3 linked regions of the Diceros bicornis minor genome follow. The protein of the gene in region 3 interacts with the protein of the main gene of each other region in a pairwise test. Links are inferred from orthologs where the notes say so. Each region holds a gene or a part of one and is shown on either strand. Other genes may lie near its edges.

Region 1 (7,991 bases), on a different chromosome or scaffold from region 3:
TTTAGAATTGACCTTCTACCTACCTTTCCTCCCTGACTTGCAGCATTAACTTCCCCAAAATCCAAAAATGTGAGAGCCTGGTAGTGGGCAGATTAAAGACGGTTGGAAATTCTTTGCCACTTCTCCCATGCAAAGGCAAAGACTATTTCTCCACTCCCTCGAACCTGGGCTGGGCCTATTTCAGCTTCATCTGGTAGAATGGAGTAGAAATTGCACCATGTCCGTTCCAGGCTTAAGACTGTAAGAGGATGGCAGCTTCTGTTTCTCTCTCTCATAGAACACGGCCAGCACAAAGCCCAAGACCCATGCAGAAGGGCCCATGCGAAGGGGAACTGGGGCCTCCGGCCAACAAGGTTAACCTCTAAAAATAGTTTATATAAAGTCATATTTCAGGTTGTCTTCTTGATAGTTTCAAATGAGTCAAAACTGATCATTAGATCATCATTGTTATTACCTGGTGATGTGACTAAAGAAAAGCTTGGACTTAAAAAGTATCAGTGATGTCATTTTCATGTTGTTTTGCACATTTTTAAATCTTTAGTATTACCTTCGATCCCCAGTTTCTTCCCAGAAATTTTCAAACTACTTGTCCATTTTGTGAGGGTTATTTTAAACTAGATCATCTAATCTGTAACCCCAGAGAACTCTGCACATATAAACTGTAATAAGTCACCATAGGCTGAAAGGAAACGAGAAGCCAATGTACGAATTCCACTTCATCCCTCAGGATACCATCTGTACCTAGGTCAGTGTTCTTCAAACACTTTGCTTCCCTATCCCTAAAAATTTTTTTTACATTATATACCTTTCCTCGTATTTTATGTTGACATATGAAGTTTTTATCTAAAGTTGGAACAGTTATAAAAAATGCAATGCCCAACATACTGTAAATCTTGACATTTACAAATAAACTTTTACATCACTCTTTGGAAAGCATCCTCTGTTATCTACACACTATAATGATCTGATACCTGCTCCCATCCATTTTGGAAAAGGCTCTTCTGTAACATTTAGAAATTTTACATTTTTCCTTTTACTATTTGAACTCATCTTTTATTCTATTTCTCCCATGAATATCTCATCCGTGTAAGTTTTTTATGCTTAAAATGTATTTTTATGTTTGAAAATACTGATCACTTTGTCATACTTACCTAAAATAAAACTATGTATAAAAATTGAAATTTTGAATTTTGTTTCATTTCCTGTGGCCATGAGAAACAGAGAAAAAAATTCTCCTTAGATTATAATTTTTATTAGTACACAATAAGTAAATATATATATATTACAATTTTGATAAACAATTATTAAACAAGAAAGACAAAATTTATTGGAAATGCATTTCCTAATGAGATGAATCATGCACTTCATTAGATAAAAGTATACTATAAAAATAAATAGGTCCATCAGCTAACATATTTTATATTTTGTTAAAAGAACCTAGGAAACATTAATAAGAGGCAGATTGACTATAATTAATATGATTTATAAAACAGTTCTAAGTACCTCATGAATATACTCCTAGTAAAGAAATCATATGTTTTATTTGTAAATTTTATCCAATACATCTGAAAATATTTCCATTACATTTAAAAGAATCAGTCTCACTAATCTATATGCTTCAGCTGTTTGAGGGTACTCTTCCTTCCAGCTATTTACTAATGATGAGCATGAGAACAGCTGAAAAGAGCTGCTACATTTAAATAAATGGTAAAGGGTATTTAAATGTTCACAACACATACAGGCCTTCTCTTTGCTGTCGTGGAAGTCGCCATCAGATACAAGCACTCTGACAAAAATGTGGGTAAAGAAGTAGCAACTTCTTCAAATGAAAAATTGTTACTCGCACCACCCCATTCTACCACCTATATGACTTCAGAACATAAAACAGTTATAAAAATACTTACTTTCTAACAGCAAGCTTCACCCTAGTGAAAATATGTAGAAGATAGGGAAATTTTAAAAGCCCCTTGGGTTTATGCTACCTTGACTAGTCTTTGAGGGAGGGTTTATCTTCCTTAGGCATCTTAAACTTCCTTAGTAAGTTTAAGGACTGATGAGGGGTAGACTTTGTAAAGTGGAAGACTCCAGGGGAAACTCTGGCAAGTTTTCAAGCAAACAATTTTAGGACCGAGTATGTGTGGATGTTGAGGGTCTGGAAATTCATTCTCTTAAAAAAAAAATTCCCAAGTACTCCCAAGGCTCTGAGTAACTCTTTGAAGACCACTGCCATATGACAGTGTTAAGTCCTATATTAAATATTAGTGAAGTTCAATTTTTCTTTCTAGGTATAAACAAATAGAAATAAAAATAGAAAATATATTATTTTCTACCCACACCCCCAATGGATCATCCCGCACGCCCATTTTGTAAACAAACTGGGCTCATCGCACTTTGGAGATCACTGACATAAATACTGACGGTTTGGGCTCTTTTCTAAGAAGAAAAAGCAAGCCACTACGATACTACAATTACGACTTCCACCTCTCAAAGGTGATGCAGATAAACAGTTATGTAAGGAAGAATAATCCTCCCCACCTCCCCAAAACAGTCTAGAACAGACTGCCCTTGGTAGAACAGTAAAGATAAGGAGACATTTAGCATATCTTAATTTATTCGTATGTAACTTAAAGGACAGAAAACAAGAAGTGGTCAAAAATTCTGAAAGAGGATCTCTAGCAAAACGGAGCGGGGGCTGGGGGGAGTGGACCACAAAACATTACTGGAACAAGAAAAAAGTGTTTGTTCCTCCATTCCAGGAAAGAAATTTTTAAAAGCGCACCACACCCTTGGCTCCACAAGGACGCGCGGAAGGGGCCTCAGGGACCAGAACACCTGAGGCTCCCGGCTCGGCCCCGACCCGGCTTCCAGCACCGCGCGGAGCGCCGGCGCCGCCGGGTACCAGAGGCCAGCGAGGGAAGCAGGGACCTGGCATGCTGGCACCGCCGGTAGGGGCGCCACTCCCTGAGGGGGCGGAGGCCGCGGCGCAGTGTTCGGGACTCACCCCTCCTCCGTATCCCGGGTAGGCCATGACGAGCCGAGCGAGCTCCCGTCACCCTTCGAGTCCGCGTCTGCCCTGCTGGGAGAAAGGCGCAGGCGCAGGCGCTTTTGCAAGTGCGGCTGAAAGCACGCTTGCCGCACGGTTCACTTCCCCGAGACCGCCCTCTCCAGCAGTCCGGCCCCGCCCTGCTCGGTTCCTATTGGCTGAGTCTCGCCCTTAGAGGCCCACACTGCCGTAGGCCACCCCTTCCCGGAGTCTAGTCCCACCCATCTCGTCTCTGATTGGCTTTACGCGCCCAACCCCTTCTTGCTCGGCTCCTATTGGCTCGCTCAGGTCTCGCGCTCTCTCCTCACGAAACCGCGAAAAAGCCTTTGCCGCGGTAATTTCCACCCTCTTTGGAAAGGCCTTGCAAGCCAAGGTTTCTTTTCTCCTTTTAGAAACCTGAAACTGCCCAGCCATGAATTCCTTTAACCTACCCCTCTGCTCTTTTGAGCTGGACTTCCAAATACACATCTATAAATTTCAAAACTTGCAGAGTTACTTTTTGTTTTTGCACGGCGTTGATGTCACATCATCAAAACTGAAACCTTGACCTCTGCCCCCAGGAGAGTGCTTCTGAGCCAAATAAAACCTACTTGACGCTAAATTTTACCGAAAGGTTATTTGTGGTTTGTTTGGTAAATAAATGGTGTCTAGAGTAGCCAGGTTTAGCAAATAAAAGTACAGGATGTCCAATTAAATTTCATTTTCAAATGAACAATGCATTTTTTTTTAATATAAGCATGTCTCAAATATAGCAGGAGACATGCACTTGCTAAAAAATGATTCTCTATTTATACGCTGATAATATACAGGAGTCCTGAATCACCCTGCTGATGATTCAACCTTTGGGCAAACTCTTAAGATGTGCCTCCTGATTATACTCACGGAGAAGAACAGCTTGGTTTTTATCACTCGATGGAAAGTTAAATGCTCAGTTTTTTTGATTTATTAAGTAATAGTAATTGAGTAAATAAGTAGTTCTGCTTTTCTCTAGAACTCAAATGAATTTTGTAGCATCAGCTTTAAAAAGACAGGACACAGACACACACACCCCAAAGGGTAGGAGAGTTGTAACTTTAGTTTAAAGAGACCAGGATGATATTATTTTGAGTTATCTCTGAAGAGTACAACAACCATTAAAACATTTTTAAAAAATAAAGATGTGGGAAAAAAGTGTTAACCACCTATTTGCAGAGGAAATCAACCTTGCAAAGCTGAGTAACTATTGCTCAGCTACCTTACAGAAGAACATGTTGAACCTTGTGAAACCTAATTTTATCAGGAAGAGGCAGAGAAAAAGGAAGATTGCTAACATACAAGCCACTCTTGAGAAAATGTGTGTTAGTTCCTCTAACACGATAAGAAATACCTTAGCCAATAAGGTTAAATTATTGGCATAAATGAATAAATGGAGGGTGATGGTAAAACCTACTTGATAAGAGGAAAGAATATATGACTCATTAAAGCATCAAGGGATAAAGGATTACACAGCAAAACAAATTGTTGCAAAGTTTTATTCTAATTGATTAACTATATATTCAAAGAAATTCTCAGAGAGGATTGAGAGTTTTACATTTAGAATGTTAGTCTAAATCTCTGGTCAGAATTTTTGTGCATCTTCCATTCATCATAATAGCCTTACTGATGCATTACATTTGTGTTTGTTGGAAGTCAAGTCTCTATGAGTCTTTTGCATTTTTACACATATAGTTTCAAAGATAGCGATAGTATTTCCCTCAAGGGCAGAGAGAAGATTTGTTGCAGGATAACAAAAAAAATCTCTCGCTCCAGGGCAAAGTTTGGGTAGGTTTGCTAGCAGGACTTTCATAAGCTCAGAGTTCCTTGTTCTGATACAAACCCACTGCTTGTGCAGCACCTGCCTAGTGGCTCCATTTCTCTCTGTGGGACTTGGGAACAAGGGGAATCAATGAGAGCCTGAAGCTCATGCTGCCTGTTGTGCTGTGAATAATAAAGTTCTTTGTCTCTGACAGATGAATCTCATTCCTTCTGTCAACCTCTATGAAACTGTGGCAGGATACTTGTTAGCATGCAAGTAGGATAAAATATCAGATCCTTCACAGTTCTTAGCAATGTATCTCTTTCTGAGAGAGCTACCCAGGGAAGTTCCTACTGAAGAGTAGCAGAATATGCCACCCCAAAATATGTCACTTTGCATAAAGATTATTTGAACTGAAGGCAATTGAGAAGCAGATACAAGAAAAGCTCTCTGCTCTCCCTCTATTTGCCTAAAAGCAAGACATAAATTTACAAGTCCCTCCAACCCTCTCTACCAGGAAGGACAAAGATTAATACTCTGAGACAACTTTAGACCCTTATTAATGGAGAAGGCAGGGACTTAAATCTGCATAACAAAGCTTACATTTGTTTATCCTGCTTTTCCAGGTAACCTCCCCATAGCTAGTCTCCCCCATACCTTTCTTTCTTTCCTCTTTATCTGAAGATGGTATTTAAGCTGGAATTCAAAGCCACCTCTGAGAGTTACTCATTTTTCCCTGGGTATTTCCCATGCATGCACGAGAACACATGATAGTAAACTTCTGGGTTTTTTCTCTTGTGAATCTGTTTTTTATCACAGGTCTCTCAGCCAAGAACTTAGATGGTAAAGGGAAAATTATTTTACCTCCTGTACACTACCATATGAGATACAGAGAGAACTTTCAGCACCACAGTCTGCAGCGTTTCTCCCTCTCTAAACCTAGTATTTCAAATTATAAATTATATATAAAAAATATAGGAATTTAAAAGTTAAAAGGAGCCTATAAAGAGATTTTTTTAATAATAGTAATGAAAATTTGCTTCCATAATTAAGTATTGTATGAATAATATCATTTTTTTTCCTCCCCAAAATCCCAGTACACAGTTGTACATTCTAGTTGTAGATCCTCCTAATTCTTTTATGTGAGCCTCTGCCACAGCATGGCTACTGACAGACAAGTGGTGTCGTTCCGCGCCCAGGAACCAAACCTGGGCCACATAAGTGGAGTGCACCGAACTTTAACCACTAGGCCATCAGGGCTGGCTCTGAACAATATCATTTTATGAAAATGTATTGTATAAAAAACAATTTTAAATTATATATTTTTCTTTTCATAAAATACTCCATAATTCTATAAAAATAGCTATTTATAGAGTGAATCCTATGTAACAGGCACTGTATGTTGTAAGGTGTTATTCCTCAAAACAACTCTATCATATATATACTATTATTATCTTCATTTTACAAATGTGAAAAGTAAGGTGGAGAGTTATATGTCACTTACCCATAGTTGCAGAGTTAGTAGCAAAGCTGAGATTAGAACCCAGGCAGTTTGGCTGCAGAATGTGGTCTCTTAAACAATGCATTTCCCCTTCTTCCCACCCCTAACCACAGGATTTCAAAGCATAATAAAAATTATTTACACTGTAAGAGGAAAGGGTTTAAGAAGTAGAAAAATTGCACACCAATAACTAGAGAAATAGACAAGAAATGCATGGTTTTGAGTAGGATTAGCCAATCTAGTTACTTATCTTACATAGGATACATGCTTTCTGGTGACCATAAAGCTTTCATGATTATGTCTACTTATGGTATTTCTTCTAAATCTTGGAGGCCTTTGGTCTTCTCATAAATTTAGATATTCAATTAACCAGTACATTTACCTAAACACTAAATTAATTATGTTTCCCTTTCCTATCTGTTGCCACCTCATTTTCTCTCTCCGTCTATATGAATAGGGGGGTGGGGGGGTGGGGAGATAGGAACATGAAAAAGAAGAGTAAAAGTCTTACTGCTCCTCAGCAAACTTCAGTTCCAGAGCCAGAGCCTTCCTCTCTCATAGAAATCATTTATATGCCAAATACTATAAAAAGACATACCAGCTAATAAAAGACATCAGTGGAGCTTATTTTATATCACTAAGAAATTTCACTTACAAAGAGTAATTCATTTATTCAACAAATATTTATTGAGCATCTATAAAGTAGCGCTAGTTTAGACAGAAAAAATTGCACCAAGATGGGGAGGGATATTCTTGTCCTTCTGGAATTTATATTCTATCAGGGAGAAAAGTCAATAAGTAAAGATAATAAAATATATAGTATATTAGAAGATGATAAATGCTGTGGAACAAAAGGAAAACAGAAGCAGGGCTAGGGAGGTAACAGAGTAGGTTGTAGTACTAAATGGGAGGCTCAAAGTAGCCTCATTAAAAAGGTGAGGTTTGAGCAAAGACTTATAGTTCATGAATGAGTTGGACAAGTAGTTATATGTAGGAAGAATATTCCAGGTAGAACTAGAGCTATGGTCCTAAGGCAGAAGGCTGCTGACCTGTTTAAAGAACAGCAAGGAGGCCAGTGAGTCTGGTGTGGATTGAGCAAGAGGGAAAGTCGTAAGCGTGGTTACAAAGCAGGGCCATTGGGGCAGATCATGTGGGCCTTTACAGGCCATTGTAAGGACTCTCTTTTATACTCTGGGTATAAGGTGAGATGAGAAGTCACTGAAGGATTTGGAGCCTTAGGGGGACGTGATATGACCTAATTTTTAAAGGATCACTCTTTCAGCTGTGTTGACAATAGACTGAAGGGGGTTGGTGTAGAAGCAAGGAGATCTGTGAGCAATCTGTTGGTAATTTAGAGAGGATGGTGACTTACCAGGGTGTAGCAGTTGAGATGGTGAGAAGCAGTGAGATTATTTTCTATTTTTAAGATAGAGCCCTCAGGATTTACTGATGTTTTGGATTTTCCCATTAATGACGTAGTGACAAAGATTCTCTCCTTGACCAAACTCTAGTCAGGTTCTTCTGAGCCCTCTGCCTGACTAGGCCTTAATCCTGGCCTATAAAGCCTTGAACAAATATTAACATAGTTTCTGACAGCTCAAGGCAGCATCCCTAGGATGACCCTAGCCCTCCTTAAAGTGCCTACCTGAGAAAACTCAAGGCTGCCAAAAGAA
Region 2 (6,750 bases), about 40 Mb from region 3:
TCAGCATGGCCAGAGAAGCGGTGGGTCGGTACGCGCCGGGAATCCGAACCCTGGGCCGCCAGTAGTGGAGTGCGCACACTTAACTGCTAAGCTACAGGGCCGGCCCCTATCTTCATTTTTTAAGATGAATCGGCTGACTTTAAAGAAATGTATCTGTAATAATTACCAGGTTTGTGCTTCTAAATAAGAGATCCAGAGGTAATATAATTTATATGTCTTTAAATTGTGTCTCAAGTATAAATTGTGTCTCAAGTATTTATTAATTTTCTCCATTCCCTTTATAAACCGACTGGCAAGTTGTTTGCTTCTTACTTTTCTTTTGACACATATAATATGTGTGTACTCATTTTGGAAAAATGAGAAAAAACAGATAATCAAGAAAAAATAAAGAAAACAAAAAAACACATTCTGATGTATATATATAATATGCACACTACATTCAGATATATATAATATGCACACTTTTAAATGAGATAGTATATCTATAGACTAATTTTTAAACTGCTTTATTAACTTTACAATATATAATAAACATCTTTCCATGCAAGTTCATGAAACTCCCCTGCTGACAGAAAAACCTACAGACTAAGTCAAAATGAAATCTCCAATCAGAAAAGTGACACAACACCAAAGGTTCACGATAAAGAGTACACCAAGAAAATGCAAGTTTGGGAAGCAGAGGGTTTATAACTATTAACCTCAGCATTCAAGGCATAAGGCAAAACTCATCATGATGGTCATGGTGAGGGGGATCTCCTATAAGAATGCGCAGACTGTACCTCAGTTGAAGCTCCGTAATTTTCCTCCTTAGCTCTCTCATCTCCTCCATGAACCTTTCCATATCATCTGCATCTCCATCTATCATGTCAATGTTATTGACAAGCCTGTTGGGAATATCCTCTCTAAAATCCTGGGCAGGTGGAGCCCAACTCCCTCTAATATTTCCTCCAGGCTCCTGGCCTTGACCACCTCCCAAAGGGCGGGCTTCTTCTTCATTCTGCACTGGGGCCTGCCCCCCTCCTTTGCTTTCCTGGGGGACATTTTCCATGTTGAGATTTTTTCCTGCTTCTTCTTCCTAGAGATAAAAAGCAAGAAGAGGGATTGAATGTTCTGTAACAACAGGATTCAGAGTTCTGTTGGCAAAGGTTTTCCCATCTGAGAGACTTCGTGCGCCCTCCAGGGGGCGCCCCAGACCCAGCCCTGCCCCAAAGCCCACCATTTTCCCTGAAAGTACTTTCCCTAGGCCACTCCTCTCATCAAAACATAGGATGGGTAGTGGGCGGGCGGTGGTTGAGAGACCCAGGCCTCAGCTTCCAGGGATCCTGATAAGCCCTCCAGGGGCGCCCCAGAGCTTGCCCCTCTACTCCCTTCTTCCTCCACCAGCCATAGGCGCACAGTTTCTAAGGACTTCGCCAGCTTTGTGCTGTACTTAACTCAGGCAGGGAAGGCTGTGACTCCCCCAGATTCTGTCCTGATCCCTGATGTCCCTACACCAGAGAGCCCCCGGTAGCCCCCTACCTGCAGGGATCAGAAGCAATCTTCCTCTCTTAGCCTTGAAATCTGCTGCACCAACGGACCTAAAGACCTGCAGACAGAAATGCGACAATACCCAAGACTGATCACTCGATTAAAGGACCAGTACCCAGGGCACCAACTCCGTTGCTGATTTAGGATTCTGCTAGTCAAATGTTGCCACCTTCTCTTTCTCCTCTAGCCTGTCTCAGGGCTTCTTTTCCAGCCCTGTGATGCGCTACCCCGCCTTCCAGAAAGAGGCATTGTAATCAAAGACGATTTTTTCCAAATCAGTTTCACCTCTTCTTTAGGCCCCTTATCCTCACTGACCCGTCCCTTCTGTTGCCTAATTACCATTTCTTGAACGCAAATGGACAGTTTGCGGGGCGGGGAAGTCAGAAGAGCTTGCTGGGTGGCGATGTGGTTTATTTATGAAGAATTTCAATCTGGGTTTCCACCAGGACCTTTTGGGACCCAGTGGCCTTTCTCGAGCCCACCCTCCTTCCGTTGCCCACCATTTTATGCATCAAGATGGACGAAGGGCGAAGAGGTAGTGTGGGCATTGCAAACTTGGTCCTGCTGCGGTCTCAGCGCTTTGTCATGCTTACCCCAGGGTCTGCAAGCAGCACCCACCCTTATACCGGCCTGCAGGGACCAGAAACAGTTTCTCCCTGCCCACCTATATCCCTCATCCCTCAGTCAGAAGTCCGCCCGGTCGACTGCCCCCTCCGCAGAAGGGACCTGCTTCCCAGACCTAATCCCTGCCCCATCCTCTGCAGCAACCGCCCCTCACCCGGGTTCCCACAGCCCACCATTTCCGGCTCCAAAATGCACGAGGGTGGAGAAAAGATACCGGGAATGGAGGCGTGCGGTGTCCATTATCTCCAACCCAGGGTTACCGGTTTCGCCCCCCTCCTGCCGCCCTGCAGGAATCAGGCTGTTTCCTCGGCGTCCTCTTCTCTGGTCCTTCCCTTCCAGATGTCGCCTGATCGTCCACCTCCTAGGGGATCCCAACTGGTACTCATTCTCAACCCTTGGCCCCTCTCGGTCTCCTCCCATCAAGCCCTTCATTTCTTGCACCAAACGGGTGGGCATCGGGGAAGTGCTAGAGAGAATCCAATCCTGAACCCACTCTGGTCTTTGCCCTCTGCCACCCGCACCCCAGTCAGAGCCCGCTAACCTGCCATGGATCTGGGTCATCTTCTACGACTTCTTCCTTCCCTGGGCTACAGGCTCGCCCGCCTTCAAGGCAATAGCGAGCCGGCGCACAGCCACAAACAACCACTGGATCACAACTAGAAGGAGAGACTAATCCATAGGTTGGCTCTAGATCTCGTAAGGGCCATGTCACTGCGAGCTCAGATCCCCAATTCCGGTTCATACCTGCAGTGCGGCAGAAGAGTGGGAGGTGGGAGCGTGGGCGGGACCACCTTTCTCCTCATTCCCGCCCTCGCCCCACCACTACAACAGGCTACTGTCCACATCCCTTTTTTTTTTTTTGCTATTTAGCAATCTTCGAGACCAAACGGGTCATAATATTTTGTAGGTTGTATATGCCTTTTCCCTGATTTCTGCTGGAGCTTTTAAAGACTTGCTTCTTCCTGTTTTATATCATTAAATGCCCACTTCTCCCCACTCCACTCCCCAGCAAGTAAAGCCCAGAATTTCCCATAACAGTCTTGTAGGTCTTGTCCCAGAGTGCAACCGGGGCGGGAGAAGGGGGCGAGGTTAAGAAATCTGGAAAATAAGTAGGAAGTGACCTTTTTTTTCCTAACTTTCACCTTAATTATTTCCCTTTATGTTTAAGAGGGTGTATGTAATTGTTTTTTTGTTTCCCATCAGCATGCATTCATTTTTTTGCTTGCTATGACTAAATAATACAATTATTTCCAGTTGAAAAACAGGATTCGAGCTGTAAAAACTTGGCAACCTGTTTCTGCTGCTGAATCATCCTACAAATATAGACCCTCCAGATAACACCTCCTCTCCCTTTTAAGGACTTTGAAATATAAACCTAAGCTGGTGGTTCCCCTTGTGAAAGGGTCTCTTTGTGGTTTTTCCATGAGGTGAGATAGTGAGTCTAACAGAGTTTTGCTGGTGGAGTTTTAAATCTTGAGAGCTTGTAACAAACTTATGGTCTCCTCTAAATTATGTTAGTGCAACTTCACTTTACAATAAGACTCCAGCATGGCCTCTAAAATAGAGCAACACTGAGGTCTTCCAACAATTCAGAACAATAATTTTGGAAAGTTATGCTTACAGATAAAAAGTATTGTGAAGCTACAATATTAAAACAACATTATACCAGAATAAATATAGAATAAATGAAACAGAAGAGAAAGTCAATTGTCAAACACAAATATGGGGAAATATTAGTAATCTAATTGAAATATTTTGAATCAGTGGAGAGAGTTTAGACTATTGAAGAAATGATTATTGAAGAAATGGTGCTGAGGTAATTGATTAGCTATTTGGAAAAAAATGAAGTGCCTTATTCCGGTTTTAAACTTACTAACTCAATATTTAGATAAAAAGACATAAAACCATTGAAAATAGTATATAACGAATGTTATTTTGTATACAATCTTAGGATGAAAAAGTTTGTTCGTTAAACATGTAGCACCAGAGTGGCCGGCCCGGTGGCATAGTGGTTAAGTTGGCGCCCTCTGCTTCCATGGCCCGGGGTTCGCAGGTTCAGATCCTGGGCGGGGACTGATGCACTGCTTGTCAAGCCATGCTGTGGCAGGTGTCCCAAATAAAATAGAGGAAGATGGGCACAGATGTTAGCTCAGGGCTAATCTTCCTCAGCAAAAAAAGGAGGATTAGCAACAGATGTTAGCTCAAAGCCAGTCTTCCTCACACACACACACACAAAAGTAGCACCAGTGATAGACATGGCCAAAAGACAACTGGCCCAATCCTGTTGGGGACCCTCTAAGTCTAAGGAGCCATGTAGAATGCTCCTCAGAATTATCCCAATTCAACGACAGGAAATTGGAGTATTTATCCACAGACATGGGTTCTTTATTGGTGGATGTTACCCTGGGAATGTTAAAATCTCTGACGCTTCCAGGTTGTCTTAAGCCTGGACTGGACTGAGCAAGCTCACAAGGTGCCATAAACGGCCCTCAGTAAAATTAGAAAATACAGATAAGGTAGAAGGACAATATCAGCATTATCTCTGCCTCAATAAATATACTATTCACATTTTATTCTAAATCAGTCCAAATATTTCCCTTCAAAATAAAGAATGCACACACATCCATTCCGGTATTTATGAGCATTTGGGGTGTTTGTAGTTTTCACTATGAGGGACCATGTTGATTGAACTTCTTTGTACATAGATTTTTTTTATACTAACAGGAGGGTATTAAATTCCTAGAAATGTCCTAGCTGTATATGACTATGGATGCTTTTAATTGCCATAGAAATTGGCCTTGAAAAATGTTGTCCCAATTCGGCATCTATAATGTATGAGCATTCCTGTTTTCTCATGTGTCCACCAACACTGAGTATTACCTGGTTTATTGTATTTTTTTAAATTTTGTTTTATTTTATTTTTTGTTTCATTTTGTCCTTTTTAATTTATTTTTAAAAATTTGTTGTCAAGATCATCAAGTAATGTTTTCTAGACCTGCCACATTATAAAAGACACCTGAGATTAAGATTCCCAGACTCTTCTCTGAGGATTCTAGTTCAGTAGATTGGAGCAAGTTATGGGAACTTGCATTTAAGTTCCTTACACAATACTTAATATCAGGTAGGGTTGGCAATCTGTGTCATAGGCAAAAAAACCAAAATGAAACAAAAAAAGACCCCCACTGTTATTTAAGTGGTCTTTTAAAAAAACATTACTATGAAATAATTTCAAAGTTATAAAATGATTTTGAAGATACTACAAAGAGCCCCCACATGCCCTTCACTATATTCCCCAGTTAATATTTTGCTACATTTGCTTTATCATTCTCTCTTTATGTTGAAGGGCACATTATTATTTCCTGAACCATTGAGTCAATTGAAGACTAAATGGTCATTTAAAAATATTTATTTCAGAGTGACATCAGCATCATGGTGGACTGAGCTTTCTTGTAAACTCTTCCCCCAATAAGATACAACATAAGGGACATTCATAGACCAACAAGGGACACTCACACAGCACAAAGGGACATCAGAAAGACCCACACTGTCACACATCTGAGAGCGGATGTGCTGGGGCCCCTGGAGGAAGTGGGGAGAGGTAGGGAGAAATCCTCTCCCTCCCCATCAGATCAGTGATTCGGGCCTGCATGGCTCCCAGAGAGCAGGGAGAGGAGGCCCTCTGCGGGGAAACCATAGCTCTTTGGCCTCTCTCAACCATTGGGAAACTCACATACAGAGGGTTCAGATGCTGCAGGGGTGCCATCAACATTTGAGAACCCCAAGAGAGCAGATAACAAAGGGCGAGCAAGAAGCCCCCTCCCAGGGACCTGGCAGGCAAAAGAGAGAGCCACTCCCCCCTGCATGCCCAACAGTGCAGCTCAGCCGACCAGTCAGAGCAGCCACAGCAGAGTGCAGGCAGCCCCGGTGGAGCAGCTATGGCGGAGCAGCCTTGGTGGAGCACAGGAGGCTCAGATTACACAGCCCTTGAGCCCCACATAGTGGCAGCAGGTGGAAACTGTAACCAGATATTTCCAGGATGAGGAAAAACAAAACGAATACAGCAAGCACGATGTAAAAGTACATGAAATCACCAGACCAGAAGGAAAATGGCAAGGAACCAGAAATCAACACTGAAGGCACAGAAATCCATAACCTAAATGACAGAGAATTCAAAATAGCTATCATAAAAAAGCTCAGTGAAATACAAGAAAACACAGGTAAATAATTCAATGAGATAAGGAGTTTCTTCACAAAAGAGATTGAAATCATAAAGAAAAACCAATCAGTATTGATGGAAATGAAGAAAACAATGGAAGAGATAAAGGAGAACATGGAATCTTTAGAGAACAGAGCTGACAATATGGAGGAAAGAATTAGCATTATAGAGGATAGGAAATACAGATATACTCCAGATGGAGGAGGAGAGAGAACTGAGACTAAAAAGAAATGAAGAAAGTCTCCAAAAATATCCGACTCAATTAGGAAATGTAACATAAGAATTATAGGTATTCCTGAGGGAGAAGAGAGGGAAAGAGGAACAGAGAGCCTATTCAAGAAAATAGCTGAGAACTTCCCAAATCTGGGAGAGGAGCAGGAAAT
Region 3 (7,119 bases):
GGATCTAAAAGAAACTTTTCAGATCAATTTTCCACTTCAGACTTTCCTCTCAGCCCTAAGACACACAGTCTGTGAGTCTGGCCGCTGCCAACACCCAGCTTCATTATAATCAACTCCCACAGAAGGAATCGCAGTTTCCCAAAGTCCCACACTGCCCTAGCTCGGGGCATTTACTTGAGTGCTCTCCCCTGGGGCCGCACCACCGCTCACCTTCTTCTTCTGTTCTGGACGGGACACTACACCACCTTCCTTCTAGGACTGGGGCTCCTAGACTCTCAGTCTGTGGGTGGGGGGCGTCCTCCTTACCCTCCTTTCCTGACTACTAACACAGGGCCTTCCAGAGAGCAGAGGCTCAGCAAAAGTCTGGGGAAGAAACGAGCCAGTGAGCAGGGGTCTTATTTACTCAGATGAAATTACTCCAACTTTCTTGAATTACCCAAGTGAATCTGGGTATACACATACCTTTTAGCTTGACAGAACGACAGAAGAGAGCAGATAAGAAGCCAAGAATTAAGTACCTTCTACATTTATTTTTCTATTTCCCGACCCCATCAATTTGACTGCTAAGTTATTTCACATTTTCTAGTTCAGATCACAGACTACGATGGACGATGTCCCAATGACTTTTACAAAACAGCAAAACTCTTCCTCTTGGACGGGATAAGTACAAATTCATATGTGGTCAATGTCATTCGCAAACAGATGCTGAAGCTAATTAAACCTTCTGTTAAAGGGAACCCATTTGAAAAATTCGTAAGGAAACCAAGATCCATCATAGAGAACAGGAACCCAAAGACACTAGCCACCATGTCCCCCCACCTCGCCGTGGCCCTCCTCTACTTAGGACGCTGACTGCTCTCTCTTCAAACACAGAGTGAAGAAGCAGCCTCACTTCATGCCCGGCAGGAGAAGCTGCTGGACGTGGGCGTGGACCGTGCATGGGTGCAACTCTGGCTCAGGCCCCCTCTTCCTCATCGCTCACAGCCTCTTCAGACAGGTGGAGGAAGGAACCAGGATCCTTGCTATGGACTCTGAGCAAATACTCCAGGACTTTCATTTTGCTGGTTTCAGCGTGGGCCCTGGGACCCCACAGGAACTCGTAGCGTGCAGGATCGCTGTCGGGCACCTGCCGGTACTCCACGTACTGTTCCTGCACCCAAACTTTGGTGAGGAGCTCCCTGGGCTCCCCGTAGATGAAGTGCTCCATCCCGGCACACACTCCCATGACACTCAGCGCTTCCCAGACATCCTCCTCAGGGGCGCAGTCGCCCTCCAGGAGGATCACGCCCAGGAGCAGCACCAGGAGGCCGGTCTTGGGCATGCTCTGCTCACCGCTCAGCATCCCATCGTAGGTGAGGCCCAGGGTGGTGACCAGGACATAGGAGTGGTCGCTGGGGTCCACTTCCTTCACGTCAACGCCAAAGACCAGCTGCATGCACTCAGAGGCTTGGCTGAAGATCACAGGGAAGTGGTCCTGGTGATCTCTGATGACCAGATTCAGCATTTCCGCCTTTGTGGTCGGCTCCTTTGTACGATACTTCAGAAGCAGGAACGCCACCAGGTCAGCCATCTTCAAGTGTAGTGCTTCTTGGAGCGAGGACTCGGCGTCTTCCGGGTCCTCCCAGGCGCTTGGCCCCTCCTCATCCTGGCTGCTGGAGCCATCGCCTTCGGATTGGCTCCACGGAGCAGCTGCCGTGGCAGTGGGGGAGGGCCAGGCACTCTGAGGGCTCTGGGGAGGACTCGGGGTTGCAGCAGCAGCCACCTCCTCCAGGGTGCCCAGGAACAGGACAGACGGGGAGGAGGAGAGGGAGGAGGAGGGAGATGTGTCCTCCTCCTCCTCAGTCCCGGACAGCTGCGCATCCACCAGACCCTGGGCCTCTCTTGGGTCCTGATGGTCTTGCTCACACTTGTAGTGCTCACTCATCTGACCTAGAGGCATGATGATGCGTGTCTGGCAGCCGGCAGGAGCGTGGGCAGGACGTGACCGATGGGGACCCACAGGCCTGGGGGAGAGAGGGAGTGTGAGTGGACTCAGCTGAGAAACGCAGCCTCGGTGGCTCTGACAAAGATGACTTACAGGTCTCCTCTTTAGGGATGCTCTCGGCTTCACAGGGCTCTGTCCTCCTGGGCGGCCTGTGCCCTATGAACCTGAAGGAGGAAGTGAGACGGCTCCTCAGGGTGCACCCAGCACAGCCTGAGGTTCTAAGGACGACAGTGGGGTGGGGTGGGCTCGGGCGCTGTGGGGTCTCCTTGGTTTCGGCATGGGGGAGACCCTGGGTACACGTTCAGGGTGTGTATCTCACCTTGACTCCTGGCGCTGCCTGGGCCTCCTCTGCTCTGTGACCTGAGGACAAGAGCCTCAGACCAAGGGCTTCACCTGCGGGTTCCTAGAGCCCCTGTAAGAGGAAACGAGGGGCCACCTCAGGGTGCAGACTGTAAGCAGAGACCTGGGCCCCCAGTGCTGACAGGAGGGGCTGGCCGGACTCTGTGAGGTCCCCACTGTTCTTGGGTGGGTGGTCCCCTCCGTGCTCACTCAGGGTCCTCACCTTCCCCTGGCAGCCCCTGGGCCCCACTCCTCTGCTGCCCTGAGGCAAAACTCTCAGAACACCACCACACACCCCTGAGACTGAACAGAAGGAAGTGAGGGGGCGCCACATCAGGCCACACCTGCCCAGGGGCTAACAGGAGGCACCAAGGGACAATAAGGTGTGGCCAAACTCGGTGGGTTCCACGTGTCCTGGGATTGGTGGTCCGCCCAGTCTTCACCTTGACACCCTCAGGGCCTGGGACAATTCCCTCTGTTAACCTGAGGCCACCCTCCTTAGGCAAAGGCCTCGTCTCCTGAAGACACAGGAAGAGGAAGTGAGGGGGAATCAATCCACCCCCTGATCCCGGGTCTCACCATGGCAGACAGAAGGGTAGAGGAGGCCTGGGCTCCATGTGTCCTGCTGAGTGTGTGGGTGGGGGTCCCCTCAGTCCTCACCGTGACCCCTGCCAGGGCCTGGGATCCTGCCTCAGCTGACCTGAGAACAGAGCCTCAGACCAAGGCCCTCACCTTCCCGAGACCACTGGTCTGGAAGTGAGGAGGGGCTCAGCCAGACAGGCCCTGCTGGGGGGTTTCCAGGGCTGACATTAGCGGCAGGCCAGATTTCTGAGGGGCCCCCTCTTTGTCCTTGGGATTGGGGTACACTCACTGTGCCCTCGGGGTCCTCACCTTGACTCTTGGTGAGAACTGGGACTCTTCTCTCAGCTGACCAGATGTGCTTCCTCAGATGACCTGACGTCGTCCTCTCAGACCAAGGTCCTCACCTGCCTGAGGGCTCTGAGAGAAACGGGAGGAGGCACCACATCCACGCCCACCCCCCACCCCCCACATCCCCCCACATCCCCTACCAGGATCACAAAAGGCTGGCAGAGGGGACCAGCCCTTCTGTCCTGGGTGGGGGTTCCCTCAGACCTCCTGTAGGTTATTCGTCTTTTCTCCTGCCAGGGCCTGCTCTTCTTCCCGGCCCCCCACCTGGATAGCTGACATCTCCCTCTGAGCAAGACCTCTCCTCCCTGAGGACTCCCCACATTCCCACCCATGGTAGAAGTGAGCATGCCATTGAGGACCACCGCTGACTCTTCCTTCCAGGGCTGAGAACAGCGGACAGCAGGACTCTGTGCCGGCCTTTCTTTTCTGAGGTGAGGGGGGTACGTTCAGTCCTCATGAAGGGTCCTCACCTTGACACCTGACAGATCCTGGGACTCCTCCCTCTGCTGACCTGATGTCACCACTCAGACCAAGGCCTCACCTCCCTGAGATGCCCCATCCCCAACCACGTGGCAGAAGTCAGAGCAGGGTACATCCAGCCATCCTTGTCCGGGGCCTCCCGGGGCTGAGAATAGGGGAAGCTGGCCTCTGTAAGGTCCCTTCTCTATTGGGGTGGGGGGAACCTCCATGCCCTCTGTTCCTCCCAAAGGGTCTTGTCTTGAGTCCTGGCAGATCCTGGGACTCCTTCCTCTGCTGACCAGATGTGGCTGCCTCTGCTCACCTGACACTGTCCCTCAGAACAAGGCCTCACCTCTCAGAGAGCCCGAGGCAGAGGTGAGTGAGGATGCACCACCTGCGGCCACCCCTGCCGGGGGTCTGCAGGGGTGACTTGGGGCAGGGCTGATTTCAGTGAGGTCCTCCTCTGGCTGTGGAGGGAGTCCCCTCAGTGTCCTCAAGGTATTCATACTTACTCCTGGCCAGGCCTGGAACCATCCCTTCTGCTAACCTGAGGATGTGTCCTGCAGGCCAAGGCCACCATCCCGCTGAGACCCCGAGGAGCAAGTGGACAGGCCACTCTCCTGACATCCTACCTGGCCTCCAGGGACAGACCACGGGGCAGATTTCTGTTGGGGTCGCCTATGTCTAGGCTGGGGGTCTGCTCAGTCCTCCCTGGGGGTCCGGGGACTCCACCCTCTGCTGACCTGAAGCCACATTCCTCACCTCCCTAAAACCCCCGAGGCAGAAGGCAGCAAATGCCTCCTCGGGTCATCCTGCCCTGGGGCCTCCCCAGACCAGCACAGGGCCACAGGATCCCTGTCTGTCCTGGGGTCCAGAGTCCCTCAGGCCTCCCTCGGCATCTCCCCCTGACTTCCAGCAGGCCCTGGGCCATCCCCTCTGCCCCCCTCAGGCCCTGCTCCCTTGACCAAGTCCCCGGTCTCTCTCAGTCCCGGATGCGGAAGTTGGAAATGCAGCCTGTGCTCACGGCGCTCTGGCGCCTCCCGGGGCTGCCTGCAGGGCCGTGTTTCTGTGGAGTCCCCTCTGTCCTCCCTCAGGGTCCTCCCCTTGAGCCCTGGCAGGTCCTGGGATCCTCCCTCTGTGGATCCGAGGCCTTCACTGGCCGGAGAGCCCTGGGGGAAGTCTGTGGAGGTCACCTCAGGCCACTAAGCACGGGGACGCCCAGGGCTGACGGCAGGGGCCGACAGGGATTGCCTGGGGCTCCTCGGCCCTCCCTCTGCTCCTCTCCTGAGCTCCCAGCAGGGCCTGGGCCCCGGCCTCTGCCCCCTGAGGCTGCTCCCCGCAGACCCAGGACTCCCCAGCAGGCTCCTCTGAAGACGAGGTGGGGGCGGGGAACTCTGCCTGACCACCCTGCCCCCTCCCCTTCCCCCAGGGTCCCTCAGGGCTGATGGCAGGAGCAGACCTGGACGCCGTGGGGCCTGGAGTCCTCCCTCCCGGGGCTACCTGGACGCCTGGCCGGGCCTGGGCTCCTTCCCTCTGCCGCCCCGGATCCGGCCCGCCACCGCGAGGCCCTCGGCTCCCTCAGACCTCCGAGGCGGAAGCCAGAGGACGTCACATCCGGACGCCATGGCCCGGGGTCTCCCAGTGCTGACGGCAGGGGTGAGAGTGGTCTGGACGTTCCCTCGGCCCCGCCCTCCTCTCCTCACCCTACTCTGCCCGGCCTGGGCCTCTAGCCCTCTGCCCCCCTGGATCTGCACCCCTCACTCTCAGCTCTGACGCCCCTGGTTGTCTGAGGAGGGGGACGTGGGAGAGCGCTCTGCTGACAGCGCTGCCGGGGGTCCCCCAGAATGCACAGCAGGGGCCGAGGGGGGTTCTGTGGGACCCTGTGTTCTGGGGCCGGGGGTGTCCTCCGTCCTCCCTCGGGAGGGTCCTCGTCCACCCTGGCCGAGATGGCCTGCTGTCCCAGGGGAGGTGCTGGGTGGGGGCTGCTGCGCCCAGGGCTGTGGGGGAGGTCAGAGAAGAAGCCACCCTTCCCGTGGGGTCTCACCAGCCAGCTAGACACCGCGAACTGTTTCTTTTCTGGATTTCATTTGTCCTGAAGAGGCTGAGCAGCTGCAGGGGCTTCCCGGGATGGTCGTCCGGGTCTATGGTGACCTCACGTTGCGTGGTTGAGTGCAGGGATTTTCACTTTTTAATCTTCCTTCCTAGTAAGAAATACATTGTATGTCTCTGCCCTCTGTCCTGTATCTGTATCTATAACATATGTAGCTTATGTGTGTGTATAGACACGTATGTGTCCATACCACGTGAATATGCAGATAAATGTGTACACATTCATGTATGTTTCTATTAGTCTTTATAGATACATGTAGACTATATATATATATGTGTATACTTCTTTTATGAAAGAATACCTTCTTTTTCTCTATGTAATTAGCACCTATACTTGATATTCTGTTCTTTTGTTTTTTTTTTGCTGGGAATGATTCACCCTGAGCTATCATCTGTTGCCAATATTCCGCCCCCCTCCCCTGCAAGGCCCCAGTAGATAGTTGTATATTCTAGTTGTAGGTCCTTCTAGTTCTTTTATGTGAGCCTCTGCCACAGCACGGCTCCTGAGAGACGAGTGGTGTGGTTTCAGTGCCTGGGAACAGAACTCTGGCCACTGAAGCAGAGTGCACTGACCTTTAACCACTAGGTGGTCAGGGCTGGCTCACTATTCTGTTTCTTGTCTGTTCTCTGTATTCTATTAAAATGAGAATCTTTTGAAAGGCTAGTCCTCACCCACTAAGATAGTTTCAGGTGGTTATTAGCACAGACTCAGGAGTCAAATGCCTCAATCAACCCATCTTTCCTGCTGTCCTGGTTTTGCCCCAGGGCCACTGGCATGTGTGGTCTGAGGGCCTGCTTCAGATGTGTGCAGTGAAGGAGGAGCAGAAGTTTGAAAACTTTCCTCCTACCCATCCTGTCATCTGCATCTATGCAGCCTACTACCCTCCCAAATTGGCTGCCACTGCCCATGCCCCCACCCCAAACACAAGTACTGGGCTCACCATAGTCTTCAGTCTCCCCCAGGGCTTTCTCCTGTTTTGTTCTTTAGATATTGTTGTTCATATTGTGTGTTGTTTTTGAAGCCTTTATTTTTTTTTAGAGCCTCTTAGGTGCCCAGAAAAATAAGGAGGAAGGTACAGAGATTTCCCATTTCCCCCCTGCCCCTACACATGTATAGCCTCCCCTATTGTCAACAACCCCCACCAGAAAGGAACATTTCTTATAATAGATGAATCTACATTGACACATTGTATCCCCCCATCTCCATTGTTTACATTAAGGTTCACACTTGGATTTGTACGTTCTATGGGTTTGGACAAATGTATAATGACATGTATCAATTGTTTGAGTGTCATCCA

What was found.
Region 1: the proteins of melanoma-associated antigen 8-like (region 3) and GCA interact in binary tests that used the Homo sapiens proteins (3 or more experiments, as listed by UniProt). The link is inferred for Diceros bicornis minor from reciprocal best matches to the Homo sapiens genes MAGEA8 and GCA.
Region 2: the proteins of melanoma-associated antigen 8-like (region 3) and BEX5 interact in binary tests that used the Homo sapiens proteins (3 or more experiments, as listed by UniProt). The link is inferred for Diceros bicornis minor from reciprocal best matches to the Homo sapiens genes MAGEA8 and BEX5.

The regions. Positions count from the first base shown.
Region 1 is NC_080749.1:44,656,260-44,664,250, reverse strand, and holds the start of GCA (grancalcin), read right to left. Parts: upstream 3,107-7,991; 5' UTR 3,029-3,106; coding exon 3,002-3,028; intron 1,203-3,001; exon of another isoform or gene 1,152-1,202; intron 1-1,151. UniProt on the Homo sapiens protein: Calcium-binding protein that may play a role in the adhesion of neutrophils to fibronectin. May play a role in the formation of focal adhesions.
Region 2 is NC_080781.1:94,976,777-94,983,526, reverse strand, and holds BEX5 (protein BEX5), read right to left. Parts: upstream 2,495-6,750; 5' UTR 2,366-2,494; intron 1,586-2,365; 5' UTR 1,519-1,585; intron 1,076-1,518; 5' UTR 1,049-1,075; coding exon 707-1,048; 3' UTR 508-706; downstream 1-507.
Region 3 is NC_080781.1:135,204,885-135,212,003, reverse strand, and holds melanoma-associated antigen 8-like, read right to left. Parts: upstream 2,396-7,119; 5' UTR 2,304-2,395; intron 2,149-2,303; 5' UTR 2,078-2,148; intron 2,004-2,077; 5' UTR 1,940-2,003; coding exon 956-1,939; 3' UTR 521-955; downstream 1-520. UniProt on the Homo sapiens protein: Not known, though may play a role in embryonal development and tumor transformation or aspects of tumor progression.